Drosophila melanogaster: one gene and its partners. The protein of the gene in region 3 interacts with the protein of the main gene of each other region in a pairwise test. Each region holds a gene or a part of one and is shown on either strand. Other genes may lie near its edges. The genes, in order: CG13012, CG30394 and meigo.

What was found.
Region 1: the proteins of meigo (region 3) and CG13012 interact in a two-hybrid assay, tested with the Drosophila melanogaster proteins (one large-scale study listed by BioGRID).
Region 2: the proteins of meigo (region 3) and CG30394 interact in a two-hybrid assay, tested with the Drosophila melanogaster proteins (one large-scale study listed by BioGRID).

The regions. Positions count from the first base shown.
Region 1 is NC_004354.4:16,670,798-16,681,855, forward strand, and holds the start of CG13012 (uncharacterized protein), read right to left. Parts: upstream 5,957-11,058; 5' UTR 5,374-5,956; exon of another isoform or gene 5,339-5,373; intron 2,240-5,338; exon of another isoform or gene 2,116-2,239; intron 1-2,115. Other genes in the region: CG13010 (uncharacterized protein), read right to left, coding at 7,642-8,046; sing (singles bar), read left to right, coding at 8,518-8,829, 8,973-9,113, 9,188-9,265; Axs (abnormal X segregation), read right to left, coding at 9,471-9,504, 9,567-9,743, 9,804-10,774.
Region 2 is NT_033778.4:21,315,357-21,325,129, forward strand, and holds CG30394 (uncharacterized protein), read right to left. Parts: upstream 7,965-9,773; 5' UTR 7,527-7,964; coding exon 7,152-7,526; intron 7,101-7,151; coding exon 6,862-7,100; intron 6,802-6,861; coding exon 6,653-6,801; intron 6,593-6,652; coding exon 6,456-6,592; intron 6,401-6,455; coding exon 4,805-6,400; 3' UTR 4,684-4,804; downstream 1-4,683. Other genes in the region: CG9485 (uncharacterized protein), read left to right, coding at 1-1,283, 1,341-2,196, 2,253-2,430, 2,491-2,660, 2,725-4,046; CG33655 (uncharacterized protein), read right to left, coding at 4,223-4,447, 4,509-4,607; dom (domino), read left to right, coding at 8,844-9,454, 9,514-9,773.
Region 3 is NT_033777.3:21,132,676-21,143,330, forward strand, and holds meigo (medial glomeruli), read left to right. Parts: upstream 1-5,594; 5' UTR 5,595-5,813; intron 5,814-5,879; 5' UTR 5,880-6,185; coding exon 6,186-6,390; intron 6,391-6,442; coding exon 6,443-6,904; intron 6,905-7,014; coding exon 7,015-7,364; 3' UTR 7,365-7,690; downstream 7,691-10,655. Other genes in the region: Trm7-34 (tRNA methyltransferase 7-34), read right to left, coding at 78-269, 325-974, 1,030-1,150; Usp8 (ubiquitin specific protease 8), read left to right, coding at 1,736-1,830, 1,894-2,382, 2,442-2,604, 2,660-3,142, 3,198-3,641, 4,040-4,270, 4,334-4,788, 4,845-5,175. UniProt on the Drosophila melanogaster protein: Probable sugar transporter.

The DNA of each region.
Region 1 (11,058 bases), on a different chromosome or scaffold from region 3:
CTCGGCAACGAACATTGGTTGGCCAATAGCCGCCGCTGTCACTGCTACCGTCGCTGCCTCTGCTACCGCCGCTGCCATTGCTACCGCCGCTGCCTCTGCTACTGTCGCTGCCTCTGCTACCGCTGCTGCCTCTGCTGCCGCCGCTGTCGACGCACTCATTAATTGGCTGTTGCCTGGAGGAGCTCGGCTAAGCGATGCGATGCGATGCCATGTCGCTTATCAGCAGAGGGCAATAATTCTGCCCCCCGAGTTGGGATGCCAGTGATTTATTTGGCCATAATTAATTTGATTTTATTGTTTACAGCGCTGCTTTGAAAGCGATGTTCTTCGGTTAATTGTGAGTGACAACTCACTCACTAACTCTGCTGGCAAAACAGTATGACTTCCTCAGTAAGACTCTATCGTATGAATACAAATGTTCTCTTCCGGCATCCAAAACTTGATTTGGTTTATACAAATAGTGCGAATTCTTGAAACAAGGCCAATATATGGTAGGGCTGGTTTAACATTTTCCCAAAAACAATATACATACATACGTTAATAGTCTATGTATGGGTCGCAACTTGGCGAGGTTTCACTGTGGACATTTGATAAGACATCCATTCAGCCACTCAAAAGCTGTGCAAACACTTTGGAAATATACTCAAAAACTAGTTTCCCCTTAAAAAATATATTTATATCAAGTTAAGTGCGGAAGTAAACTGAACTATATAATATTCAGAGAAACCAATTAAGATTTTCCAAGTAAATATATATTACTTGTTTTCGTACAAAAAAACCGACTGTAACTGCTGATGCTTTCAAATTAGTTAGGAATTTTATCTGTCACGTTTGCCAATTAGGCGTTGGTTGTATCCACCAAAAAACAAAAAAAAAAAAATTGGAAGGAGAATCGTGTCTGGAAAAGTATCTAAAATAAGATAGGCACTAAAACCCTTTTATGTGCCATCAGAAGCTGCCAAATGGGGAATATCTCCAGTTGTCACCTATTATTCCGTGTTTCTTCTCCAAATGATTGGAGAGGGGGAGGGAGGGAGGTAGGGAGAGTTCCAAAAGGTAAATTGATTTGGCTTCATGATTGGAATTTAAAGGCCCGTCTGATTAGCACAGTATGCTTGTTTTCTATGAGATCCCCCACATGATTTGCATGCGAATCGAATAACTATCGAAAACTAAGCGATATAAAGTTTGCTGGAAGTGCGAAAGGTGCACCGAGAAAAAATGTGCGTAGGTTTCAATAATACTGGCATAAATACAACATCATGTAGGGCTCTTGAATAAAAACTAAGACATTCATTCAACATTTCTTTGGTCTGTTTTTTTTGCATTGAATACAAGGATTAAAAACAACTAAACTATTTGTTGACAAATGAAGCTAGAATATAAGAAGGTATATATGTATGTATATTAAAGTAAGAAGATATATATTCTTTAAAAATTATATACTTTCTTGTCACGCTACAAAAAAAGGGCAGAAGCCGAAAAGGTTTTTAAAAAGTTAGTATAAAGGTATATGTATTTTAGGGCCTAAGAGAGTCTAATTGAACTGATTAACTTTCGCACTTGCACTCATAATTTTAAACATTTTATTTGTTTTATTAGTTGTTTATTCAAGAAAGTCTCTGTTATTATTTCATTTTTTTGTTAAATGAACCGGAAGGAATGGGATGTGGAAAGCGGGATTGCATGCTAAGTCGCTGGAGAAATGCGAGCACGATTTTCAACTCGTACATATGAGCACAATGTTCTACGATATATGTACATATGTACAATATATATGATATAGTATGTGATATATGTAGTGTCGCGTCTTCTGTAGTTGTTTAGCCACCGCGCCATTAATAATTTAATTAATTTAATCATTTGTGGTGGCAACAATTTGCAATTTAATGGCACAAATTACGGCTCGCAAATGGCATAGCGGCGAAATTTTCGAATTAAAATTCGGCAATCATCTAAATTTGCACATTAAAATGAATGTAGAACGCGCCATTCGAAAATTCACGCCAATCAATTGATTATCACTGAACACAAATCTACAGAGCACAAAAATGGCACTGGATATAAGATATATGTAGGATATTACGATATAAGATATATTGGCCAAGAACTAACCACTCACTTGCAATATCTCTGTATCAAAATTCAAGATGCACTCTACTAATCGTATTTTGGCCTTATGCTCGTTGTATTCGTTTTTTACTTTTAACTCTGAACTAATGCCGCCGACAATCGGCGTTCGACTAATGCGCTCTACGTAAAGCCCAAACGTAACTTTCGATTGCGCCAAAAGCGGCGGCTGCGACGCCGACTGCGCAGTCGCGAGAATGTCGAGAAAGGCGGCTTAACCCTATAAAGGCCAAACACTTTGTTTTGGGCCAATTTAGGAACATGAAAATGAAAGCAGTTAGATCGCTGGCATCATGTAGATAAATGAAGTAAGAGTATTCTAGCTCTGGCTTATGCAACAGAAAGACTCAACAAATTGCATTAGTTTTATGCAATTTGGTGTTTCCACATTTATTAAGTACGATTACCGGATTTGCCTAACACACACACACACACACACACACAAGTGTGGATAAAACAATAATATGCATTAACTTCAATAAATGCACACGCGACTCGATTCAGACGTCTATCACTCATACGCACTGTTGGCCGGTTCAGGCGTGCTCGATTTAATTACCATTAATTAAAATGAATTGAATTGATTTGATTTTATTTTATTTTATTTATCACTTCCAGCGACTGCAAAATCTTCTTTTGAATTTAGAGCGAGTTGCTTTAAACATATATAACCATTTGACAAAATGGTGGGCTATTTTCGTGTATATCTGATATACTTGGGGTTAAAACGGGAGGGAGACGCGATCTCCGTCAAGTTGAGCCGGGTCTACTTTTCATACGATACGAAAATGATCTTAAATCTAATTAAAATGTAACGAACGCAATGGAATTGAAATGGAAATCGTTGTCAAATGAAAGCGATGCCAGCGTCTCAATGCCAGCGATCAAGTCAGTTACGAATAGAACGGCATTTGCAGTAGATCAAGGTGGGGGAAGATCGCCATCGCCATCGCCATCGTCATCGTCATCAGCTATTGTCATCGCCGAACCCCTGGGAACATGATTTATCGATTTGACGATACCAGATGGGCTGATAAGCAGCATAGCGAACACGATCCTCAGGAATTCGAGGTACTTGGGTACATGGCGCCTCACAGAGAAAACTAAAACCCATGTACAAGTATCTAAGGGCGCATACAGCAGCGGCCAAGATGGTAGGATTATCAAGCAATTGAAAGGCCCAAGCTTCTGGTATAATTTAAGAAAACTAAACGACTTCCTTGAACGCATCTAGTACACTTGTCTGCCCAAGTGATCATATCATAAATCATAATATCATATCATATCATTATATCATAAATCTAACAAAGAAGTAATTACCTTGATATGCCCAGATCAGCTTAGATCACATTAAAATTTGCAGTGTACCCATTAAAAAAAGGGTTTTAATTTTTCTTCAAAATTTCTCGTTTACTTGCGTCCGCAATTGTTTGTGTGTCAGCACACCTCCGGCCACGCCCACTTCGACAACAAGTGGGCGACAAGTATTTTTTTTTCGCAATGACGCAGATGGACAGACTGGGCAAACTGTTTTTTGTTTTTCTCCCACAAATTGACAATCCAAAGTGGCTACCATTCCGGAATTTTCCGTTCCGGATGGGAAGACTCTTCCGCTTTGGATCCATCAGTGGGGGTGAATCATCGATACTCGATAATCGATTCTCGATTGTTTCGATAAGCTAGAAGATTTGGTTTTCAGCAACTCGTTGGCTTATAAAACCAAAGAGAGGCATGCTATCAGTATATAGATTCCATATCTATAACTATTCCCTGAAAACATAAATAACAAATTGTTCGTATCAATCTAGTTAGTTTTCAATTAAAGAGCAATGACTAAGATTATTTGTGCGGCACGAACATATATTTAGTAATTAAACTTATGAGTACGCTGCTATGTTTTTCTTTAAAGATAAGATTTCGGCGAAATATTATGGATCGCCGGTCATATCAGGTCATCTAATCAGGAACTCAAACTCAAAGGATATCTACTCGGAACTGCAGTGTCACTCCGAAACTGAGGTTTTCCCACCTGAGACAGCATTGCAGAAGATATAGTACATTACCATGTGATTTTGGACTTTCCAATCGAGGGGCACTTGTTCACATTCTGTCAACTCATCTCCGGTGCGGGGCACGCAGCGCGTAGTACACTGGGAGAAACTGGTTGACATTTCAAAATTCAATTTCGATAATGCGTCATTTATGAGTGTGACATTCTTTCGCATTCTTTCCTACCTGAGCTTACCTTTATTTTATTTAACAACTTATATATATATATATATATATATATATATACATATATATTGGGGCTCTATTTGTACTTAAGAAAAGGATTTCAAATTAAAGTGGGCCACAGCGATATGGGTTCGAGTGTACTTGTTTTGCAAACGTTTAAAAGTCGCCAAGTTCCTCCACCTCTACGTTTTTAGACTTCCAAAAATCATGACAATAGCAAATGATAGTGACGTCGACGGGGCGGCAAACAAATTGCTATAAATAAATGGCAATCGCAGGTTATACCACTTCTAGACCAGGATCGCATCGGATCGGTTAACTATAGACATGATGGGTATATATAATAGTCAATCAGTGTGCCAGACTGGCCAGGCACTTGGCCATTATCTTCTCACTTGGCTCGATGTTGGCCCAGATAAAGCCTTTTTGTTTACGGCCCTTCATTGCGACTTTCGCCCCAAGAAATCGCCCCTTCTGCATCTTGTTGTTGCCCCATGAATTGGCGTTTCAGCAAAAAAAAAAAAACAAAAAAAGGAAAAAAAATATAAAAATATACTCTATTTTAAACATTTGTGCTGCTCGCACTTGTTGTTGGTCTATCAACACCCACCACTCACAATTGTGCTTCGTACTATTAAACTTTAAGTACGAAGCACAAAATATTTGCTATTTGCCAGCAAGTTGTTGCCAATTGACAGCTGCATTTGGCTGTTAATGGGGAAAAGCGATTTGTTTAGCCAGCCAACAACAGTTTTTAGACTGTTTAAGTTCTGGGAAAAGCACATTCATTCACTTTCAAAACGATCGTAACAACGCTCTTTCTAACTCACTTTATAAATTTTTGAAATATTTAGCTCTTTTCCATACATCTAATGTATATTATTTTTACTAATTTTAATATTTACGAATTTTGTTATGTTGTTTTCTTATGCTGAAATTATATTGTTGATATTTTTGAGGAATTTGTACATACATATTGCTTTTGGCCACGTTTCCCATCATAAATACCGTTTTCTCAGATGATTTCAATTGTTTCCTGTTCTGGGTTTTCTCTCGCCAGATTGGATCTCTCGAAATGTGCTATATAGTATATAGAATGTCCGATATAATGTCCGATTTGGCGGCTGGAAATAACAGGCCGTTGACTGATGTTTGCGATTTATTTAATTAAATGCCCCGTTGTTGTGTACGTTGTTATTTTGTTTTTTTATTTTTTTTTTAAGGCGATTTGGAGATTGTCAGGCGACCGAAATAAACAAATACAAAACTGCAAATGAAAATGAAAATGCAACTGAACGCGAGAATTTGTCGCACTTTTAATTTGACTGAACAACAATCAGCGCACTGTGTCGACTTTTTGCCTTTTTTTTTGTTTCTTTTTTTTTTTGTGTAAGTCTTGCCGCAATTAATGGCACAACCATTAACAATTTACAAGTGGTTTTTTTTCGATTTTTCAGTGCGAATTATTTTTACATTCCTTGTTTGTTCGCTTCTTCACGTAAACATTTGAAAATTTAACATTTTCTTTGTTATATTGTTTCGTTGCTGCGACGTCAGACGCATTTGCGCCAATGAGAGAAAGGCAGACAGAGCTTTCCCATTTTCCGCCCGATCGGCGGATATTATGTATATATATATACATAACTTTAACCACAGATGCCTATGTGTAAATTCTATAGTCTTGACTTTTAAAATAAACAAGAGAGCATAAAGAGATCTTTGTGTGTTCGTAGTTGTTGTTTTTTCGGAAAAGCGAAAAATCGCAAAATGCCTCTCATCCCACATTTCCAATTGGATGAAGTTGGACGGGCGATTGATTATTGACCAACTAACTGCAATGATTTATGCACGTGCAAAATTCGTGACGAAATTGGCAAATTCCTAATTGCAGATTGCAAAATTTCCGCTTTATGGAGTGTGGAGGGGGGTGGAGGGGGTTTTGCAACGATTTATGCAAATTCTGAACGGTTTCACTTGTTACAGCATTTCTGGGGCGTCATCGTTATAGCTACCTTTTATTCGAAACATCACTTAAAAAAATTTTAAAATTAATAAGTATATAAGAATTGCATACATTTAAAGAATTGCATTACAATCCATTTTTACATATTCAAGAAGAATTATAAATAAGCGCTTGAATATATTAATACAAAAGTAGATGAATGTATACAGGAAAATATTTTTTTAAATATTTTTAAACTATACTTGTTTATTCTACAAAAATAACTCAAATACCTTCGTTTCTAATGCAATCTTAGATTTTAAACCTTCATATTTATTGTCTTATTTGTAATCTTATTATTATTGGTATATTTTTACATAAATTGCCTTTCGCTTAGCCCCAATTTCTCGCAGTGTAGCCGCCCATTGACGCAAGCGACAGCGCACAACAATAGCGGTAGGAGCAACAATAACAACTGCCGGCAGCAACAATTACTTGTGATAACAGCCACATTATTTTATTGTCAAAAAGCATCCACCCCCGCACGAGCACCACACCCCCCACCCCCCCACACACAACAAACAATCCCACAAACATGTACATCTATATAGATATATGAATGTATATAATCCCACCGATCGGGCTTAGCCACATAAATTGCCGCTGCGACTGATAAATTACACTAATCGCTGGCGGTGCCGACGTTTGAGCTTTGTTTGCATCCCGCTCCTGTCCCTGCCCCTGCCACGCCCCCTTCCCGGACACAACACGATCTTCTAGAGCGCCAACCGATCGGCTAAAGAAATCGGAGAACAGAGCGGGCACAAAGAAAGCTCAGGGGCGTAGAGATCGACGGGGAAAGTGAAAGTACATATGTACATACATACATATAACTTGGCCATAACTTCCCTGATTTATTGACCAATTTAGTTGGCAACTTTATTTCAGTTTAGATTATTCATGTTTTGCAGGATTCCCCCAGTTTCATTATCTCATCTAAAAATTTATCTATTTTAAATGTACTGACAGTTTGACGAGATCTGGAAGCCTAACACGAATTTTTGAAAACTATTATTAAAATAAATTATTGTAGTTGAGAGAACGTTTTAAAATGCTATAATAGGTTGCCATAATTACCATATAGAAACTTAAGAACTTTTGGTGTTCCAAAGGTTCGAAATGGAACATTTTTATTTAACTAATATCTTGAAAGCGAAAAAAGCAAAAGATTTTTGATAAGTGTATAGGGGACTACTGCAAGCCAAATTTCGATGACCATCAACTCCTATTGAATATATGCATTGCAATTCGCTGCAATCCCGATCCTTGGCAGTCTAGAGCGACTCAATGCTGGACTTCTTGTTCTTGCTCATGCCAAAGTATCCCCACCAGGAGCGGCGCGACCTCGCCTCGTCGGCTGGAGCAGCACTGGTGGCCATCGAGGCGGTGGCGTTGCGCACAGCTCCTCGGGAGGCGGTCGCCAGAGGTTGCTCCGCATTATCCTCATTGCTGCTGACACTGGACTCAGGAGGATTGGCAGCGGTGGTACTACGGCGACCGGCGGACTTGCCGGATTTAGCCGACTTCGCTGACTTCGCTGACTTGGCGGACTTGACGGTGTCCATGGAGACCTGGGTCACATTGGCCAGGCTGGGCAGTGGGGTGACGCCTCCATCGCGGGTGCGACGCTGCCGGCGATCGCCTCCACCGAAGAGCTTACTCAAATACGGCATGCACATCCTGGCAGTGGTTCACGTTCGCGTGAGCTCGAAATTTGGGGAATTATGCTTAACGTTTTTTTTTTTTGGAACGATTCGAATTGGCGACTAGAATTTGGATGGCATCGAAAATCAAACTGAACGTAGGATAGCAAACACTTGGGTAAATGGATCAAATTAAAAGGTGAAAAGGTTGATATCCAAGTTGTATCAATATTTTAACATATATATCATGTAGTTTCAGAGAAATTAAATCGGATATTTAAGGAAGATACCTTCCGCATAGACAAATCCTCGCCCATTGTGAATTGCTGTTCTAAATTTAGCTGGAGATTGGGGTGGATTTGTTGCCACGTCGCTGGAAATGCAAGGAAATGCACCACTTGGGGTCCATGTGTATCGGCAGCTATTTATAGAACCTGGTTGGCTGGCACTACGACAACATACAACAAAGCGGAGTCGCTGCATCGCCGGATCAGTTGCAATCAGACCATGGCCTCGTTTGGAGTTCGAGGAATGGGCCAGCCGCTGGGCATTCGGATATGCTGTTGTCGCGTCTGCACCTGCATCAATTTCGGGTTCGTTCTGTCGCGGATCGGCCTCCTGAAGCTGATGCAACTGGGCCTGGCCATGCTCTGCGAGGGACTGCTCATCCGCTACGGCGTACCATACGCCGATTCCATTGGCCAGGCGCTAACCAGCTTCCTGGCCACAACCGGCCACTGCTTCACCACCACTGGCATCCTGCTACTGTGCTACGCCTTCTCCGACAAATCCTACAGTCTCATTCGGCAGTCACTATTCGTAGGTTGACTTGGAGCGCTTTTCCAAGTGAAGAATAGATTCTCTACTAACTTGCTCGAACACAAAATTCAATTCAAATTGAAGGATGCATTTTAATTTTAATTTTTTCTGATCTAACGATATGGTGATTGCTCTTATTCCAGGAGACCTTGTTCAATGGCCTCGCCAGCTGCATGTACTTCAGCTCATCCAGTTACATGGGTTTCGCCTGCGTGGTATGGCTACATCCGCAGTTCCTGGTGCGACCCGGATTCTGGGCATATCCGGCCATGACAGCCTGCTATGTAAGTACTGCTGATTTAAATAAAAAATATGCCTATATTTAACCAAAAATCCCTTTAAACTCCTTAACTTTCAGTACATGGGCTATGCAGCGGGAATATTGCATGCCCTGGATGCCTACTTGGCGTTCCGGCACTTCCGAGGCGCACGCTAATCCCGGCCAGACAAAAGCAGTATCTTAAGTACTCTGTGGACATATTTATATGAGTTTTAGGTTTAAGGCACCTTACTTCCGTTGGTCTCGAACATTCGCGGTAAACGCGATTAGTCGTATGTTTATAAATAATAACATTTAAAATGGACTGGTTTCATTAGCACCAAAAGGAGTGGAGTGGGAGATCCGGCGATCTTGTGGCCCATCAGGCCATCTTGTTGGCCTCCGCCTTGAATTTTCTGCAAGTACATAGTTCGTTAGATGTTTTATTGTTTCTCCATTGAATTCGTTTTACACCCACTTGAGTTGCTTGAGAGCCTGGCTGGTCTCGAAGTCCGCCTTTAGCAGTCCGATGCGCACCCAGCGCGGCCTTTCGTGAATAACCTTGTGGATGAGAAACTTCAGGCCCAGCAGCAAGTGTTCGAAGATTACGAACGAAAGATCCGGCACCGATGGCAGCCAGTGAGAGAAGAAGTCCCTGATGGATTAAAAAAAGGATGATTATCAGTAAGAAAGTCAGAAAAAGGCCAAAACTCACTTGACATTCGGCTGAAGGAAGAGCAGACCGCAGTTGCTAAGCAACGACATCACTGAGAGCAGCTCGAAGGCCAGCTGCCAGGCGCCGATGTTCTTGGCGCGCCTTGCAAATGGTCGCTTAAAGATGTTGCACAGCTTCCACATATCAATGTGCACCGCAAAGACGTTGTTCAGCAGAGCTCCAATGGCGGCAAATGGGGCAACGGCGGCAAACAGGACCACGAATCCAAACTGGATGCATACCTGCAGGTAGTCCTCGTACGTGGAATGATATTCATCTAGTCCGGATTCGTAGAACGATTGCTCGTAGCGCGGCAGATCACTGATGGATCGCAGCTTCTCCTCGGCCACCTCGCGATGACGGAACTCGGCGTACTTCTGGCGCAGCACCGCCAGCAGCGGTATACCAATCTCCTGGGCGATGCACAGCAGCTGGAAGACCAGCAGTTGCATCATCAACTGGTACTTCAGCTGGCGCAGATCGTGCAGCACGAAGGCAATATAGAACTGCGAGAAGAAGTTATTCACGATCTCGAAGAGCATCAGCTTATTGACCCGATGACGATCGTACTGCGATCGAGTTCGATGGTTCTCCAGGTTGGTGAGGAATGTGGCCAGCTTTTCGTATGCCCACGAAAAGATCGCAATCAGCACCGACTGCACAATAACCGGCACGTACAGCAGCCAGGAGTCTGGTCCGAAATCCGCCAGCACCTCGGCTTCGATCTGAAACTGGTAGAGGGCAAACCAGCCGGCGGCAACCACACAGCCCAGCACCACCGGATACGAGATGCAGTACATCTGCAGGTATGTGTACCGCATCGGATAGTGGAGTGTCATCTTGCCGGTGATGGGGTCCGGTTTCAATTGGCCCGTATATGCGGATCGCGGCTTGTCCAGGCTGCTCATCTCAATGGTGCCCCATCGATACGAGTAGCCGGCACACTTACGCTTCCACAACTCCAGGAAAATCTAAAAATATAGGAATATGTTAATATAAAATCGATTGGAAGACCAAAACCATAACGTTTTATGCCAGCTCTAGTGTATTTAATCTTTAGTTAACTGTTTTTTGTGGCAATGATTTAGTCGGTGTATAGATATATTTAAACTATTCAAACTTGAAAATTGGTAAAACTGCAAGATCAAAATACATACATGCTAGCTATTTTTACTATAGCACTTAAAAGTTTCCAACTTAAGAGCACTTAAGTGATGCTATACTTAGATTTATAAGCTGTAAAAGCAATTTATTT
Region 2 (9,773 bases), on a different chromosome or scaffold from region 3:
TGGACGCCACATTCGCCCAGTGCGGAGCGGACATAGCCGAGGGCAGCCTGGAGCATGTAGGCGTACCTGCGGTCATCGAGCAGGAGTGCCATTTGGAAGCGTTAAAGTACCAGTTGCACACCTCCTACATGTCCAAGGTCAATATACACGAGCTGTATCAGTGCGATGTGATGAAGTACGTGAACGAGTTCATGTCCCAGGTGCGAACTCGCGAGCCACCGAAGAATGTGGCCAACGAGTGTCGCTTCCAGGAAATCCAACTGATACAGGACCCGCAATATCGACGCTTGGCCAGCACCATTAATTTCGAGCTGGCGCTGGAGATCTTTAATGCTTTCCATGGCGACTGCTTCGATGAGGAGTCACGGTTCCGCAAGTGCGCCGAAACCCTCCGCCGGCATCTCGATGCCCTCAACGATCGTGTGCGCTGCGAGGTTCAAGGCTACATAAACTATGCGATAGACAATGTTTTGGCCGGAGTTCGCTACGAAAGAGTCCAGGGCGATGGGCCCAGAGTGAAGGAGATCTCCGAGAAGCACTCGGTCTTTATGGTCTACTTTACGCATACCGGCACCCAGGGAAAATCGCTCACTGAGATCGAGGCGGATATGTATACCAAGGCTGGAGAGTTCTTCATGGCCCACAACGGTTGGGTCATGGGATACAGCGATCCTCTGAGGGATTTTGCTGAGGAGCAACCTGGACGCGCCAATGTCTACCTCAAGCGGGAGCTCATCTCGTGGGGCGATAGTGTGAAGTTGCGCTTCGGCAGACGGCCGGAGGACAGTCCCTACCTATGGCAGCACATGACCGAGTACGTTCAGACCACAGCGCGCATCTTCGACGGTGTGCGATTGGACAACTGCCACTCCACGCCATTGCACGTAGCTGAGTACCTTCTCGATGCAGCTCGTAAGATCAACCCAGAGCTGTATGTGGTGGCTGAACTGTTCACCAATTCCGATTACACCGACAATGTGTTTGTGAACCGATTGGGTATCACCTCCTTGATCCGTGAAGCTCTTTCCGCTTGGGACTCCCACGAGCAAGGCCGCTTAGTGTATCGGTATGGAGGAGTGCCTGTAGGTGGTTTCCAAGCAAACTCATCGCGCCACGAGGCCACCAGTGTCGCTCATGCCCTCTTCCTGGACCTCACCCACGATAATCCGTCTCCGGTGGAGAAGCGTTCCGTGTACGATCTTCTACCATCGGCGGCACTGGTTTCCATGGCATGCTGTGCCACAGGAAGTAACCGTGGTTACGACGAACTGGTCCCCCATCATGTGAGCGTTCATTCGTTTAAGATTTATTCCTGAAACTAACTCATACTTTTTTCCCAGATCCATGTCGTAGATGAGGAACGCACCTACCAAGAATGGGGCAAAGGTGTTGACTCGAAGTCCGGAATTATGGGTGCCAAAAGAGCACTGAATTTGCTGCATGGACAGCTCGCAGAGGAGGGATTTAGCCAAGTTTACGTAGACCAGATGGATCCCAACGTAGTTGCAGTTACTCGTCATTCGCCAATCACGCATCAGTCAGTTATTCTCGTGGCCCACACTGCCTTTGGCTATCCCTCTCCTAATGCCGGACCCACCGGAATCCGCCCGCTGCGTTTCGAGGGTGTGCTGGACGAGATCATCCTGGAGGCCAGCTTGACCATGCAGAGTGACAAGCCATTCGATCGTCCTGCTCCATTCAAAAAGGATCCGAATGTAATCAACGGCTTTACTCAGTTCCAGTTGAATCTGCAGGAGCACATCCCGCTGGCTAAGTCGACAGTGTTTCAGACCCAAGCCTATTCGGATGGCAACAACACGGAGCTAAACTTTGCCAATCTACGACCCGGCACTGTGGTGGCCATCAGAGTGTCTATGCATCCTGGTCCTCGCACCAGTTTCGATAAGCTCCAGAAAATCTCGGCTGCCCTGCGTATTGGATCTGGCGAGGAGTATTCCCAGCTGCAGGCTATCGTCTCCAAGTTGGATCTGGTGGCACTTAGTGGTGCCCTTTTCAGCTGCGATGATGAGGAGAGGGATCTTGGCAAAGGTGGCACCGCCTACGACATTCCCAACTTTGGAAAGATCGTTTACTGCGGATTGCAAGGATTCATTTCCCTGTTGACGGAGATTTCGCCTAAAAATGACTTGGGACATCCGCTTTGTAACAATCTGCGCGACGGAAACTGGATGATGGGTAAGTTTGTAAAGATAGAGATTTATGTAGTTACTTTACAACATAATTCTTTTCAGATTACATTTCTGATCGCCTAACTAGTTATGAAGACCTGAAACCACTCTCCGCCTGGTTCAAAGCTACCTTTGAGCCACTGAAGAATATTCCACGCTACCTCATACCCTGCTACTTTGATGCCATTGTCAGCGGGGTTTACAATGTGCTCATCAACCAGGTCAACGAACTAATGCCAGAGTATGTCCATTAGAGCCGACTGCATTCATGGAGTTTTTATTAAGTCTTTAATTTTTACAGCTTCATTAAGAATGGCCACAGTTTCCCACAATCCCTGGCCCTGTCCACGTTGCAGTTCCTCTCCGTTTGCAAGTCGGCCAATCTGCCGGGATTCAGTCCTGCTCTAAGTCCACCCAAGCCTCCAAAGCAATGTGTGACTCTATCTGCTGGTCTGCCGCATTTCTCAACGGGTGAGTTTATCTATTATATTTAACAATCGAAACGGAATAATGGAATATTCAACCATTTATGTAGGCTATATGCGGTGCTGGGGCCGTGATACCTTCATCGCTCTGCGTGGCTCCATGTTCCTCACTGGCCGTTACAACGAGGCTCGCTTCATCATCATTGGATTTGGTCAGACCCTTCGACACGGACTCATTCCGAATCTTTTGGACAGCGGCAGCAAGCCGAGATTCAACTGCCGCGATGCTATCTGGTGGTGGATGTACTGCATCAAGCAGTATGTGGAGGATGCCCCCAAGGGTGCCGAGATCCTGAAGGACAAGGTGTCCCGCATATTTCCGTACGACGATGCCGATGCCCATGCTCCAGGTGCCTTCGACCAACTTCTCTTCGACGTGATGCAGGAGGCACTGCAGGTGCATTTTCAGGGCTTGCAGTATAGGGAGCGCAATGCAGGCTATGAGATCGATGCGCACATGGTGGACCAGGGCTTTAACAATCAGATCGGAATTCACCCGGAGACTGGCTTTGTATTCGGAGGCAATAACTTCAACTGCGGCACTTGGATGGACAAAATGGGATCCTCACAGAAGGCCGGAAACAAGGGACGTCCAAGTACGCCGCGCGACGGATCAGCCGTGGAGCTCGTTGGCCTCCAGTATGCCGTACTCCGGTTTATGCAAAGCCTAGCCGAAAAGGAGGTTATCCCGTACACCGGCGTGGAACGAAAGGGTCCATCGGGCGAAGTGACCAAGTGGAGCTACAAGGAGTGGGCGGATCGCATCAAGAACAACTTTGACAAGTATTTCTTTGTATCCGAATCGGAAACCTGCTCGGTGGCCAACAAGAAGCTTATCTACAAGGACAGCTATGGAGCCACCCAGAGTTGGACGGACTACCAGCTGCGATGCAACTTCCCCATCACCTTGACCGTGGCTCCCGACCTGTGCAATCCTCAGAATGCCTGGCGTGCACTGGAGCGCGCCAAAAAGTATCTTCTGGGACCGCTGGGCATGAAGACGATGGATCCCGAGGACTGGAACTATAGGGCCAACTATGACAACTCAAATGACTCCACCGATTGCACTGTAGCCCATGGCGCAAACTACCACCAGGGGCCGGAGTGGGTATGGCCCATCGGTTTTTACCTGCGGGCGCGCCTGATCTTCGCCAAAAAGTGTGGCCATTTGGACGAGACCATTGCCGAGACCTGGGCCATACTACGGGCCCATCTCCGAGAGCTACAGACATCCCATTGGCGCGGATTGCCCGAGTTGACCAACGATAATGGCTCCTACTGCGGTGACTCCTGTCGCACGCAGGCCTGGAGTGTTGCTGCCATTTTGGAAGTCCTGTACGATCTGCACTCCTTGGGAGCAGACGTGGCCTAAACCACCGTAAATACTCATATTCAAACCTGTTAGTTGCTACCAAAAACTGTTATTAGTGTTACGTTTGATAATTGTACGGATACAAGATGGAATGAGATTCGATGCCTGAGGTCCCTTGAAATTTTGCTATTCCTATTCTATTAAAGTTGCAATTGTTTTTAAGCGTTCTTTTTCGTCTAAGAGAAGTAACTATCTCGGCACACACGCATGCAGGAGCATTGGGGGGGATCGATGGAGCCAAAGTTCTTTCGAGGCATGTCCCGTCCCGTATATTTTGGAATGGTGTTAGCCTCGGGAATCGTTGGAGCTTTCATTGGTGAAACCGCTTCCTGGGAAATAGGCTTGACCGGAGGTAGAGGCTTTTCACGCTTTGCTTTCGATTTACCATCCTCTATTTTCAGCTTAAATAGAAATTAACCATTGCGATATAAATATTATTTTAAAAATATTACACCTACTCACTTTGCCACATTTTCTCAAGGCTAAAATGGCTGCCTCGCATGTTAGATCGTAAGCTTTCTGCAACACAACTTGTTGGATAACATCAAGGACGATGGACATTTTGATGGAATTACAAAAAACCTGGGCTTCACATACAATTTTGCTAGCAACTCCACGAGAAATTTGACACAATATTCCCAAGTCATATGAACTGTATATAATTTGTATATACTTCTAGTCTACAGTTTCTTATAAACTAAATAAATACATGTAAAGGTTATATACATAAAGCTTTGCATAGTTGTAAACTATCCGCATTACGTCTGCAGCGAAGTTTGGGTTCCATTTGGACTCGCTTGGTAGGATTCGTTTTCAGTAACTATCTCGACGTCATCATCTTTGATGGATTTGAGATCGCGTCCAATACTTTCCATGTTCAAGCTCAAGGCAGCTGCAGCCACATTATTATTCACTTCATCCAGCTTGGGCTGGCGTAGGCAGTTCTCGTCGTTTGAGGCCTCACGTTTAACCCTTGCCGGTGGCTGCTCTGTCGCATCCGCCGAACTTCGCAGATTGAGCAGCTCCCGGCGAATGGCCTCTACATTGTCTTCAAGGTTGGGTTTCTTGATCTCCGAGTCATTCGATGATTTCGGCTGAGTAGAATTCACCATTAGGGCTAGTGGAATGGGCAATCGTTTGATAAGCGCTTCTTTATCTACGGTCGAATTCCTGAGTAACTCTCCGGTTTTGTAGGATAGAGGTTCAAAAACGCCGGCATGGGCCTCCTTTTCATCGCGCAAATGTGTATTTTCCGTGAGTATGTCCATTAACGATGCCTGCCGCCTTCTCTCCTTCTTTTCGTCCGCAACTGGCTGCGACTCCTTAAGCTTAATTTCAGCCTTCTTCGGTTCCTCGGCAAATTTCGCACCAGTATCCAAAGGCTCATCTTTCTGTAACTCCAAAGGTGGCTGATTAAATGAATTTTTCTTGGCCAACTCTTCGTTTAGCTCCCCAACGGTTTTCGCCAATAGTTTTTTGGTCTCCTTTAATTCCTTTTGGGTTTTGAGTAGCTCATCTGCATTAGCCTTACTTTCCTTTTGCTCTTCGGCAGCCACGTCCTCCTCCTTCTTGATGGCCGCTCCATCAATTGTATTGCTTGCTGATAACAAGCTCGATCCAATTTTTGGTTTATCTGGAAGCGATGCAGCAACAGCAGGCGGATTATTCTTGGGCTTATCCACGGTAAGGTTGACATCGAGTGGTTTGGCTTCTGGTGGGTTTGCTTCTACGGCTTCTACTGGTAGTTTTTTAATATCCGTTTCAGAATTTTTACTATCTATGGGAACTACATGGACTTCATCGATGGGCAGTGGTGGCAACGGTGGGTTGTCGGAGGAAGCTGATTGCACTACCTCCGGCATATCAACAACTTTATCCTCAACGGTTTGTTTTAATTTGTCTGGATTTTGGACATCCAGTTTCTTTAACAATAGGTTCTTTTCACTGTCAATGGATTCTTTGGCCAAATGTTTTGGTAGCTCGCCGACGACAGCTGGCACTTGGCCATCGGGATACAGAGGGGTGCCTATGGCAACCATATCAAACTCCGGGCCGGAGCTCTTTTCATCAATTGCACTTAGGTTCGCATACGTTCCCAGGATCATCAATAGAAATCCACTTACGAATACAAACTGGGCAAGCGTACGTTCCATAGATTCCTTTTTGATGATTTTTCGAAAACTGGATGCGGGGAACATTATACAAATGGCTACGCCAATGGTGGAACCCACCAAGCCAATTATAAGCTCCACGGAGGGAATAACCAAAGCCACGCATAACGAAAAGACAACGATGAAGATAGTGATGAATCGAAAGCGTTGTTCAGGTATGTAGCTACTGCTTTCCGTATGACCCTATACAAAATAGATATTTAGTGTCTACACCATCCAACTGAAGTTACAAAAATACCTTTCTGTATAGCAGCGAATAGAGACTGGCTCTGCAGGGAAAGATTACCAATGGGAAACTAAAAGCAATTGACAGCACAAAGCCAATTTTAATGATATCGCTACCAAAGGAGGTCGATAAGTTCACCAGAATGTTGCCTATAAATACAAAGCCAAATATGTAGAACAGAGAATGCCTCAAAAAGGTGGCTGGCTTACCCGAAAAGGTGTGCGTACAAAACGCCACATATCCGAAAAAACCAACAGATATGTAAACAAAAGTACAAATCCAAGTGGCATTGCGGACGATGCCGTTTAATTTGTCGAGACTCTGGTTGTTAATGCTCTCAAAGACCTCAAATAGTTGCCTGTAAATAGATCAGATATATAAATAAATTTTGCGGACATAGAAAGCAGGGTGTACACACATTTGGCAGGAGAGAGCCATGCTGAAGATGGGTAGGCATTGGAGTACGCCCGCCGGTTCCCAGTAGAGCACCTTTTCCGTCCAGTCGTTGGCCGTAATGTGTGGCTGGGCCTCCAACACGATCTTGAGAATTAGGCAGACATAGAAACCTATGGACGCGGTGCAAACGGCGGACAAGCTGTCCACATTGCGGAGCATGCCGAGGGGCACTATGCACACCACAGTGACTACGACCATGACCTGGTAGATAAGAGTTAGTTTCTCTTCTTGGATAGAATAGCACTTTCTTACCAGACTCCGCAGATGCAGGTGATCTGCCACGTCCAGCGCGAAAATCTTGGCGATTATCTGCGGACCCAGATCGCCCACGACCACAAAATACGTGATGCACGTTCCAATCAGGTAGCCAATGATGCACAGCTCCACCAGCAGCTTGCCGGAAGTACCGAAAGCATGGAGACCGAGCATCTCGAAGCTCCTCCTACGTGTCAGCAGCGAGGTTTTAATAAGATAGTGGCAGCAAACCCGGGTTATTCCATTGCTTAGCACAAGAAGAACGATGGATAACAGGATGCCGCACTTCTGGAAGCAGAACGGCATGGCCAAGATGCCGACGCCTATGATGCTGTTGGCCAACGTCATTACATGCGCGGAGTGGGCCAACATCTTGCCGGGAATTCAGCCTACTTTCTCTTTTATCCCGAGTTTCGAGAACTGCGATCCGTTTTCACGTGGGCGTTTCGCCGCGTATGCAATACCGTCACAAGCTGCGTCGAACTGATACCAACCTTCTGTCTGATACGGCGAACAGCAGTACGGCGCAAAATACTACTTGTTACTCCAAAATGAAGCGCTATCGACGATTGCACTTGTGTAAGCAAAATTGTAAACAAAATAATCCGGCGACGACGACGACGGCGGCGGCGGTGAAAAAGACGTTGGCGCTTACATTTAGTGGGCGGTTGTGGTTCAGCAAACATTTGTTCCAATTACGTGTACGTGCGTTGCGCTGCCAGGCTGCTTGCGCATTTTTACGGCCGCAAGAAAGTTTTTAAGCAAATTGTTTGTGTCGTCACCATTCCGTCACCGATGTTTGACAGCGTGACCAGCTTGCGTTATTTGGATTTGGTGAACCGCGAAAGTCATGAGCCTGTGGGGACTTCGAAATGGTCACACCGATTTTTGGCATTTCAATGCAATCCAACAGTCGCACTAATTTTGTACTCGAAATTCAACACGAGCAAACGTGCTCGCGGACAGTTGAAAAATTTATTAAATCTAATAAATGTGCAATTTTGCAGACCATCGAGTGCAGCAGATTCTCCACGACGCATTGGCACCATTTTCAAGCACGGATGCCCTGCAGAGATGGTGAAATCTTGTGATTAAAATTCTCCCCGTCTGAGGTAGGAAATAGTGAAAAAAAATGTCTGCCGCGCCGAAAATTGACAAAGCGACGCCGCCATGTCGCAACCTATAGTCATCTCCCTCTCGCAGCGTGCTCCCAGCACCACCAGTGTTCATCTATGTGTGTAGTGCATATTTCGAGCGTTAAAATCTGTTGAAAATTTAAAACCATTCAAACAGTGGAAAATATTGTGCACACATTATAGGTTTTTCACATTTCCCTTGCGGAAATCGGAAAAGCAAGCGTATGTGTGCCGAATGGAAAAAACCAAGACGCAGGGTTGCATTTTTCTTGATTTCGAGGGGTGCATTCTGTGTGATAAGCGTTTTTTTATTCTGTCTTTAAAATGATTGTAGACTTTTGTCCCGTCATGTTTGATAATGGATATTACGCAGCGGTAAAATTATTATTTAATGTCTGTTATTGAGTCAATGAGTTCTGCGGTTTGGCCAGGGCTGCAGCATCGGCACATGTTCGAGGCTGGCCACGTTTTCTTTTTCCCGCCATCCGCTGTCATTTCAAAATAACACTGTGAACTCACACCCCTTCTATTTTTTTTTGCAGATGTCTCAAACATGAATGAAGGTAATTCAGCAGGAGGGGGGCATGAAGGGCTCAGCCCGGCCCCTCCTGCTGTGCCAGACCGCGTAACTCCACATTCAACGGAAATTTCAGTTGCCCCCGCCAATTCTACAAGCACAACAGTACGAGCAGCAGGATCAGTAGGAGCAGCCTTGCCGGCCACCCGCCATCACCAACATATAGCGACCCAAGTGAAGGGAATCGCCAGCAGCAGCAGCAAACAACAGAAGCAACTGGCCAGTGCGCAGCTGCCTGTGCCGCTGTCGCCCTTGCCGCAACAACAACAGCAAACGGCAGAGGCAACGGCAGCAGCAGCAGCACCCGCCCACTCCAACGTATCCGTTTCCTCCAGCACAATAGAAGCCTCTGTTTTGCCGCCGCAGGCCAAGCGTCAGCGTTTGGACGACAACGAGGACAGGACGAGTGCCGCCAGCATTGTTGGACCAGCCGAGAGCAGCAACATTGTAAGCTCCCTGCTACCAGCGTCGGTGGCCTCCAGCAGCGAGGTCGGCGGGCTTTCTTCTACGGCCCTGCAGGACTTGAATGCCCTCAAGAAGCGCATACTCCAGCAGAAATTGCAGATCTTGCGTAATCTTAAAGAAAGGTGAGTTACTACTTTTTTATTACCAAATACCGCTGAATAACAAATTTTCTTTTAAAAAGGCATCTTGAAAATGTGTCCGAATACTTTTACCTACAAAACGGCGGCAGTATGATGGACTACCCCGCGTGGCGCAAGAAGACACCAACCCCGCAGTTCATCAGCTACAGCAATGCGAATCGTATAGATCAGCTGATACACGAAGATAAGCCAAGCACATCAGCAGCAGCAGCTGCGGCACAGAATCAGAAATATACCACCCAACAGACAGACTCTGTGGAGTCCTCACTAGTCAGTGGCATCGGTACTGGAGCGACAAAAG
Region 3 (10,655 bases):
ACAAAGTTTTGATACATTTTGAGATGCACCAGAATTTACACTCATATTCATAACTTTTCATTTTTTAAAGCTTTTATTTACGTTACACAGGCACCTAACTTCTCAGACTTATTCTCATCATTCTCTAGCCATTTCTTCAACATTTCCTCATCGTGAATAACGCGAATGCCTTCATATTTTATGTTCACTTGGCTCGTTTTCTGCAGAATGTCCTGATAGGCGGCCGTCAAGGGTTGCTGCACTGGCTCTTTATACACATAGTTCTCGCCCTAAAACAAAACATTTTAGTGGTTTAAACCAAACGAAGATATAGTATTAACATACCAAATCGTATGTGCGATCCGAGTCCAACTCGCCCTTGTAGGCAACAAAGGGAACTTGAACCACGGGCGGGCTCTCCTTCTTTCTGCCCACCCACGACTCGGGTTGATCGTGCCATTCGGTCGTCAGGTTGCAAGGCTTGTAGCCATCGGGCAGACAAAACTCTCGGGCCACCACGAAGGCTTCAATGCTGGAGTTGCGCGAGGCGGAGGGCTTGAACACGCATACGTTCTTAAAGAACCGCTTGAGCTGAGTGTACAACCGACTGGTCCTGTCTGCCCGGTAGATCTTGGACACGAAGGAGCCTCCCTCTTCCAGTATGAAGGTGGATATGCTGAGGGCGGAGAGAAGTAGTTCGCCCTGAACGTACGAGTCAAAGTCGTGCATTCCAGTAGAATCGGGAGCGCCATCGCTAACAACAATCTGTGCCTTCTCGCCGCCAAAGAACTCAATTATGGCCTCGGCTGTCGACTCCTTGCTGATGTCCGCCCGCAGTTGTTTGACTCCTTCGATCGGAGCCATTCCCTGCAGGTCTACGGCGATGATCTTTACCTTTTCCCGTTCCTCTGGCGGCAGAGGCTCGTACAAGCGTTTGGCCAGCACCTGTGACCAGCTGCCAGGAGCGGCGCAAAGGTCCACGGCTCGGGTGAGACCTGAAATAAGTGGACAATTAGAATCGCTCCGAAAAACACGCGGTTGGATCTGCACCTTCTAGCAACTGAAAGGTCTCATCCGCCTGGAGCAGTTTGAAAGCACTTCGTGCACGCCATCCCTGCTCCTTGGCCAGGCGGTAGAATATGTCTCGTTTATCCTTCGAAGTCCTGCCCATTTAAAAATAATAAAAACAAAAGGGTATCAGCTGTGATACGACATCTACAGTGCTGTCGTTTTAGCCGTTTTCCCTTCAACTTTGGGAGTTTATTGGTATTAAAAACATTAAAAAGTTTGCAAGTGTGAGCTCGAATTTATAGTTTTAAAATATATATCATTCATTTTGTGTTAAAATATAATTTTATATTTAAATGGTAGATTAGGAAAAAGAATCAATTTTGTTTCCAAATCCATAGAAATAGCTACAAAATGTAGTTTAGCTTTAATCTTCATAATATTGAGTTACATATTCATTATATTTGAATTTGTTTATTTGAAATAAAACACGTACAGCTAAAATACATATCTAGTTGGATTTTCAATATTAATAGCTAAATGGCTAAATTTGCACAATCTAAATTTGCACTTCTGACAGCGCCATCCTATTTCTTTGTTATCGATAAATTTCATGCAAAATAACAAATGATTGTGTTGTTGCAGCCCAGCCCGCAGATTGAGAAATTCCTGCTATGAGAACAGGAAAATCGGCGAGATCCCGATTCCCAAATTCAACGTAGCCCGCCCCGACAACAAAAAACGAATAATGGCCAAGTTGAAGAAACTGCATATGAGCTCCAACCTTGATGACCTGGAGAAGATGTCCATCATTCCGGATCTGCGCAGCAAGGGCATGAAAATGTAAGTGGACACCGCGATTTGGTGCTGATGCGGCTGTTTTGATTTACCTGGCATTCTTCGCAGCCTACTGAACACCGCCCGCAAACTGTACATGACCGCCGAGGAGTACAGACTGGATGGCGACGAGGAACTGGCCTACATCACCTACATGAAGTACTTCAATATGCTGACCGCAATTCACAAAAAATCCGATTACCCCAGCCACAAGACGACGGTGCGCCAGATGCTGGGCGACACCGAGTCGAATCGCCGCATTATGGACACGCTGGAGGAGATTATCAACTCTCTGCGGCATCGTTATGCTCAGCAGCACCAAGCGCCGGAACCAATTGCTCCCGACCTGGTTAGCAATGGGCGTGCGGGTGTGGACTCGCCGATAACACAGCCAACGCAGTACGCCCGACTTGGGCTGATAACCTGTCAGGATCTGTATCGGCGCATGCAGGAGAAATCGGTCCTAGTTATGGACTGTCGCCCAAGCGCCGACTACGAGGCCTCCCACCTCACGTACTACTGTGCATTTAATGTGCCCGAGGAGTTGATAACGCCAGGGTGAGTTGTCCATTATAATAATCTCGCTATTTGGATACTAACTTATTGGATTTACACAGAATGTCGGCTGGCAGATTGCAGGCTCGTCTTAGCAGCAGCGCCAAGGCGTCGTGGGCATCGCGTTCCGTCAAGGATTCGGTGGTTCTTATGGACTGGAACACCAAAGATGCCCAACCGGCGACCAACACAGCCATTTCAACCCTTCTGGACATCCTGAAGAACGTGAGTATGGGTGGTATTTAGCCATAGATTACATATAATCATTATTTTCTGGTAGTGGGATCCGGATGTGACGTATCGCGCACCCATTCAAATTGTCGAGGGCGGTTATGAGTACTTCATTATGATGTACCCGACCCATTGCACTAATCCCAGTGTGCAGGCGCCGCAGCAGAACAACAACGACATTGAGACCATCGATGATATCGAGTATCCCTCAATCCACGACATCACCATGAAGGAGGATATTAGTGCGAAGGACTTCAGACCGCGTCCAGACTTCAATCGGGCCAACAAGCCAGCGGCCACTCGCGTTAATGAACAGGGAATTTCCCGTCCTTCTCCGCCGGCTAAGCCCATTGCTGAGATCATGCGTGATCAGGCCGAGTTTTTGCAGCGCGCAGAGCAGAACGATGAGCAGTTGGAGAAGGCCTCAAAAATGTGGAAGCGTCAAGCAGCAGAGGGCGATGGTTTGAATGCTACCGAGGACCAGGAGTTGCACTTCAGGATCCTACAGTTGGAGAGCAAGGCCCAGGACTATGTAAGATCTATAAATTACCTTATAAGGTTCGATTAATTGTTCGTTTGTGTCGTAGATCGTGGAAAACAATCGTCTGCGAGAAGAACTAAGTCGCATACAAGAGCTACACAATGTTACGCAGCAGTTGTCGCAAAAGGAGGTCGAGGCAACGAGGAATATAGAATCCAAGATCCGCGAACGACAGCGCTTGGACGAGCAGCATGAACTTGAACGTCAAGAGCGGGAGCGCCTTTTGGCGATCGCTCGCGAGACAAAAAAGCATTACAAGTCACCAACACCTTCGGGCCCGCCTTCGCCGGGCAGGAACTTGGAGGACGTACATGTCGTGTCAGACAGCCTGGAATCCCTGCTCCAGTTGACTGGCGATCCGGATCCGACAATTGCGCCAAACAAGGCGGAAATACCAACATTCGATCGGGCGATGAAACCGCAGCCGAGGAATGTGGAGAGGACATCGCAACGCGTTCGTGATTTCTCGCCTGTCATTGGTCAGAATGTGGTAAGTATTGCTTGGGTAGTGGTGGTTGACTCACTGGCCACATAAATATAGCCGCGACACGAGTCAAATCAATAGCCAGCGGGTCACGTTTTGAAGACACCCGCCCAGACGTGCGCCGTTCTTGGTGCGCTTTCTACCCCCACTCTCAGTCGCTCGACGTCCGCACTCAAAGCATGTTCAAACCAAAGAAACGTACAATTGCCATACTGTTAAGCAGGAATAGCATTATACAGGATTCCGCGAATGATTTGTGTAGCGGGCGTGAGGCTCCAGCTGCCAACAGCTCCGCCCACCTACAGCATTTATAGCTCCATCTTTCCGCTGAGACGAGTAATAGCTATAGATTTTATTTTCCTCTATCTCCGAATAGTTAACTATATCCTTGGATAACATTTCAGGGTCGTGGACTGACTGGACTGAAGAATCTGGGCAACACCTGCTATATGAACAGCATACTGCAGTGCCTGAGCAACACGCCTCAGTTGACCGAGTACTGCATTTCGGACAAATACAAGAATTACATCAGCAGAAGCAACAAGACTAATGGCCAGGTGATCGAAGAGGTGGCTGCACTCATCAAGGAGCTCTGGAATGGACAGTACAAGTGTGTGGCCAGCCGAGATTTGAGGGTATGCAACTGAAAAAAAAAAAACACCCAAATTTCTTTCTAAACTAAACATACTTCATTGCAGTACGTTGTGGGCCAGTACCAGAAGATCTTCCGCGGCGTTGACCAGCAGGACTCACACGAATTCCTCACCATCCTGATGGACTGGCTGCACTCGGATCTCCAGACCCTACATGTGCCCCGTCAGCGGGAGATGATCAGTGCGTCGGAAAAGGCTTGGCTGGAATTTACCAAGGCGAAGGAGAGCATGATTCTGCATTTATTCTATGGCCAAATGAAGAGCACTGTGAAATGTGTGGCCTGCCACAAGGAGTCCGCCACGTACGAGAGTTTTTCTAATCTCAGCCTGGAGCTGCCGCCAAACTCGAATGTATGTCAGCTGAACCAGTGCATGGACATGTACTTCAGTGGAGAAAGGATCCATGGCTGGAATTGTCCTAGTTGTAAAACGAAAAGAGATGCCATCAAGAAGCTGGATATATCGAAGCTGCCACCTGTGCTGGTGGTGCATCTTAAGCGGTAAGTGATGCTAACACTATGCTATGCTTGTTTATAATTTCTTAAATCCCGCATAGCTTCTATGCGGATCCCAGTAACTCTGGCTCGTACATGAAGAAGCAGAACTACTTGCGCTTCCCGCTCGAGAACTTGGACATGAATCCCTACATAGCACGGGCGGAATCGCGGGCGGTAACACCTAAGACCTACCAGCTGTACGCCGTATCCAATCACTACGGCACCATGGAAGGCGGGCACTACACGGCATTTTGCAAGAGCGCCAACTACGGAAAATGGTTCAAGTTCGACGATCAGGTCGTCTCGGCGTTGGACTCCTCTAACGTGGTTTCTAGCGCTGCATACATTCTTTTCTACACCTGGCTGCCACCCATGCAGGTGCCTCTGTAGACGCTTCGCTCGGTTTCCTTTCGGTTTTTACCCCTTTCGTTTTAATTGTTTTTTGTTTTTCTCTCATATTATAGCTTTTAAGGTCTAGTCGCCACACCCTTTTATCATTTACAAATTACCGCTTAACTGTTAACTGCTATTTAAGAGGATAATCGCTTGTTTGTTGTTGTCTAGGCTCTTAGAACAGTATTACGCGTGGGCGTATTTTCAATGGGTGCAGGCTGCATTCACTAAAACCAAGAACTTCAAGTGCATTACCAGTGTAACAAAGAGAAGCCCGCATATACGCCTGTGTATGCGGGACTATAGTTTATTGTATTTTGCAAATATATTTTAAAACCAAATAAACGAAATTCAATTTCTGATACAAAGAATTTCTTTGAAAGAATCATGCGTAGGGTTTTTAGAAAACAAATTGGGGAGAGCGGGTATTTTACACTCAACAAATAATATAAAAAAGGGGGTGAAAGTTATTTTACCATTGCAAAGAAAAATTCAGCTAATTTTCGCGCCGAAAAGTTCAATTCGAGATATCCGATAAGTAAATATATTCACTTCCAACTAACGGTCACACTGTAAAACGCCCCCGCTCTTTAGCAAATGCAGTGTTGCCAACTCTTGCTTTCAATAAATAGCTAGTTAGTTGATTTATCAATTATTACATTTATAGTGTTTTATGTATGCCCTATTTTTCATTTATAAAGAGTTATGATTTAAACTTATTAAATAAGATGATGAAATTGATGATTCAAAAGAAGAACATAGCTATAACAGTGCACCTAAAAAATGGCCAAAAATACAGGTGCTTGCAATCACTTAATCTAATCTGGCTAGTAGCCAGCTAAAGCGGCAGCACCGACCACGTATTTGATTGGATTATTTGATAGTCAACGCCAAATCACGGCACTGCAGCCGCGACTCCAGAGAATGCCAACTGTTTAGGATCGTGCATTAAGTCCGACTTAACCAATTCGCAAGTCACACGCTTTAAAAACCGTCATCTGCCCGCCATGAATCTGCCGGAACGCAGCCGTTTTGTGATCTACGCCGTCGGTATCTTCGTATGCTACTTCTTGTACGGAATTGTCCAGGAGAAGTTGACGCGGGGCCGCTACGGCGAGGAGGTACAGACAGATGGATCCGTGGGAGAGCGCTTCACTTACGCCTTGGCCCTTGTTTGGGTGCAGTGCCTCTGCAACTATGTGTTTGCCAAGGGTAAGGATTACGTGGACTTGTAACGAATCAATTCTGATCTGTGGTCTTCCAGTGCTGCTGACCATTAGGCCGCAAAAGGAGGACACCACCAACGCGGGCTCCTACGTGGCCTGTTCGCTGACCTATCTTCTGGCCATGGTCTCCACCAATATGGCCATGCGCTGGGTTCCCTATCCCACTGCTGTGGTGGGTAAATCCGCCAAGCCCATCCCCGTCATGATCCTGGGCGTGCTGATTGGTCGCAAATCCTACAGCTGGACGCGCTATGCTTGCGTATTGACCATTGTCCTGGGAGTTATTCTCTTTATGTACAAGGAGGGCAAGGTGTCCAATTTGCCGGCTGAGACCACGCTTCTCGGCGAGGTGCTGCTCTTCCTCAGTTTGTCAATGGACGGATTGACTGGAGCCGTTCAGGAACGCATCCGAGCGGCCAGCGCGCCTTCCGGTCAGCAGATGATGAGGGCCATGAACTTCTGGAGCACCCTGATGCTTGGCGTTGCCATGGTATTTACAGGTGAGTGTTAAAAACACTTTATTTGAGCTAAAAATATTGGCTAAGACCTTTTTATGTAAGCCCCATACGTTTTTATAAATGTTCTGAAAAACTATAAAAAAAATCTTCAGGTGAGGCCAAGGAATTCATGTACTTCACCATCCGACATCCCGAGGCGTGGACCCATTTATCGCTGATAGCTGTGTGCGGCGTGCTCGGTCAGTTCTTCATCTTTCTGATGGTGGCCAGCTTTGGACCTCTGGCCTGCTCCGTGGTTACGACGACGCGAAAGTTCTTTACCGTCCTGTGCTCCGTTCTGCTGTTCGGAAACGTCCTGATTGCCCGCCAGTGGCTTGGAGCTGTCCTGGTGTTCGCCGCACTCTTTGTGGACATGCTGTACGGCAAGAAGGCGCCACTGGCTACGGCCAAAAAGCCGCCAGTCGAGGGAAAGCTATCCGAGGAAAAGAAACTGAATTCGTAGAATTTGATAGATGATTGCATAGCCCTATGTACTGTACATACACAAATTAAGAAGACAATGCTTCCGGCTCGAGCGGCTGCAGCGCCAAAGTTTCCCCATTTCCTAGAACTGCTTATCGTACAAAGGATTCTAGCTATAGCGAACACAGCATTCGATACTTGATCTGCAACCCATAGACCGTCGTTTAAGTTAATTAAATTATTGATATCTATTAGAAAAGGAACAAATATTGTGCAAAAGTTTACACCAGACCTGCGGGTCTCTAACATACAGGATCATTCAATCATTTAATGCTACAATTTATAATTAAAACGTGCTCTTTTATTAATGGTTGTATTATTTATATGGAACGTTACTAAGAAGGCCTAACAAAGGCAACTTATTTTCTGGCTCAGTTTAATAAATATTTTCCCATTTTTTTTTGTATTTTCTTTAACTTGAATTTAAAGCGCTTAAATCAGAGCTGCCACCTTACACGAAATGTGAACTACGTTCATAGGCAAAAGTAAGATGCTATGAAACTCGAGTTCCAAGATAAAATATCAATTTCGTGTTATACTGAAATAAGATTTAATATTGTGTTAGCTACTATATAAACCGTAATAATATGAAAAAAAGACTACACAAATTAGTTGTATCGATACCGCGACGAATCAATTGGCAACAATCGATAGGATCACTTTGCCGACCCTGGCAACTCTAGTTTATTGCCGTAGCCGTTGCAGATACGGTCGAAATTTTCAGAATGTTTTTAAAATGTATAAATCCAGTGTGCGCAATGCTAATTATACAATAAACTAATCGGGACGAAAATTTCCGAAAAATAAAAGAACGCATGTTTCGAGTTTCGGAACGGAACGGAAGGAAACACAAACGCGAAATTAAGCGAAAGTTGGAAAAAGGATATGCCCAGTATTAGCGGGAAAATGCAATAAAAATTGCAAAGAAAAGCAATCGAAATGCAAAAATTGTGATTATTTTTAACAGCAACGAATGCAGTGTGACGTGTGATTAAAAAGAATAATAAAATTGGCTCGTTTGCATAAATCAAATAAAATATTTTCTTATTGGATGAGTCGCACTCTAGTTGTTGTTGTTGCTGCTACCGCTGCCAGCTGTTTGACTGTGTATTTGTTTTTGCCCTGGTGACGTCCGTGCGCGTGTGTATGCGAGTGTCTTTTAGTGCTTTGGCTTAATTTTAGCAACTAAATTCGATCGAAAGTGAGTGTGGGTCGCAGCGACGCGAATAAAAGCAAAGACAAAGGCGGCAAAGTAAGTGAATTGTGTGTACATAAGCGGGATATGTAAGATGTAATTTCAAAATTTTACTCTGTAAATGTGCTCACATGTTGAAGTGGGAGTGAAAGCACGATAAACAACCCCAAATCACGCTGTCGCCCTGTCTCTTTTCATCTTTCTTTTTGTGGGGGTGGCTGGTCATATGTACCGTTAGCCGGCTGTTGTGTTCTCTTCCTCTCTCTCTCCCTCTCTCGGAATAACGGTTAAACGGAAGCCGGCTAAATGCATTATGTAAAGTTTTAACTTGTGCCCCAATTTAATGTCACACTCCCACTTATCAGCGTGTCGTCAGACGGAATAATTGTGGAAAAGTGATTTATGCTTGCCACTCTCTGTCCCGCTCTTTGGCAGATAGCGAAATTAAGCGCCTCCAGCCCCTCTTATCGCCCGAGTTAAGTCCGTGATCGAGGGTGGAGCCTTTTGTGAAGATATGATGTGTAAATGTATGAAGGTTTTTAAGTTTCAGCAGATAGTTGTAGTGTGAAGATTTCCAATAAAGAATACGACTGACTTTCTTGAAGTTCAAAATCAGTATCAAGTTTATTGTCAGAGAGTGGCTACTCGAGTCCTCCGTTTTCGTCTTATACATAAGTACATAGGTTCTTAATTGTAAGCATAATGAACATGCCGACTCGGCATGTGGCTGGCTAGCTGGGGACAATGTTGCAGTGCGACTTTTGTGTAATGTCAGCATTCGGCCGGAATGTCAGCATTCGGCCGGATGCGGTGTTCCAGTTGCCGTCTTCCCGGTTGAGTGTCCGATGATTTGTTTAGAGGCGTGGGGGTTTAGGGGGTGGGGTGGTAACTCCTCCCCCCCCAGTTCGAAGTGACGGCCATAGCGAAGGTATGGATGACGCGTAGATTGGTACGTGATGATCCTCGTGGATGTGGACGATGTGTTTCGTTCGTCGGTGCAGCCATAAGATGACTGCTAGGAACGTTACCAATCCGAGCAGAGTGTAGAGTGTCCAGGTGTGCTGTATAGTATTGTGATGGACGGCCAGGATTTTATCCATTGTTTGGGTGGCTTCGAGGTGCAGTTTTTCTAGGCTTAGTACCGTAATAGTGGTATTCCTAGTTACTTTTCGCATGGGGGGAAGATCAAAATCCGTCTGTTCAGGGAACGTGTCAACCGTGCCGTCGTAATCGATACCGTTAATCTGTATTGTTTCGTTAATGTATCTGATGATGGCTGACCCCATTATTGAGAGCTCGGAGCCGTTTGTTAGGGATACCTTCAGTTTGTTCACGTTGAATGCGAAGATGTAACCTCTCTCTGCCTCGAACACGTCGGTGATGGGGCCGGTTTCCCGTACATCGCAGGAACTGTTTTCTCCGTTCAAAAGGTGTTCCAGGCATGTGTTGTTCTGTGGTGTATCAACGTAGAAGTTCTCGTCGCACAAGAATGTATTATCCAGTTTGGGGCATTTACGGGTCATATGAAATTTCTTATTATTAATATTATAAGCTAGGTAATTTGGGGTTATTACAAAATATGTGTTATTTATTGGTAATGGAACTAGTCTGGCGAGGGTATGAAAAGGTTGTTTAAAAATTGGGACTTTGATATTAAAAATAATCTTTTGTTCGTAATTTAGTGTATTCATTTGTAGGAAATTGTATATACTTTGTTCATTTTTGACTGTGATATTTTGTTTTTCCAGTATTGTTTTTATTTTATCCATTTCTTGTTCATTTAGGATGAACTTGGGAATTATATTTATTTTCGCCAATAGCATACTTTCTGTTATGTCGTTTAGGTGGTTAATGAATAATTCTATGTTATAATTAATCCTATTTAAATATTGTATTTCTTCCAGAAGGGTATCTTGTAAGTTTAAGTGTTTGTATATTTTGTTTTGTGAGGTATCAAAGAATTTACTTATCAAAATTTGTTCATTATTTATATGGTCCGTGATATTTTCGAACCGGATAAGTATTTCGTTGTTAAACATTACTTGTTTTTGGAGATTGTCGTTACTGACTTCGGAA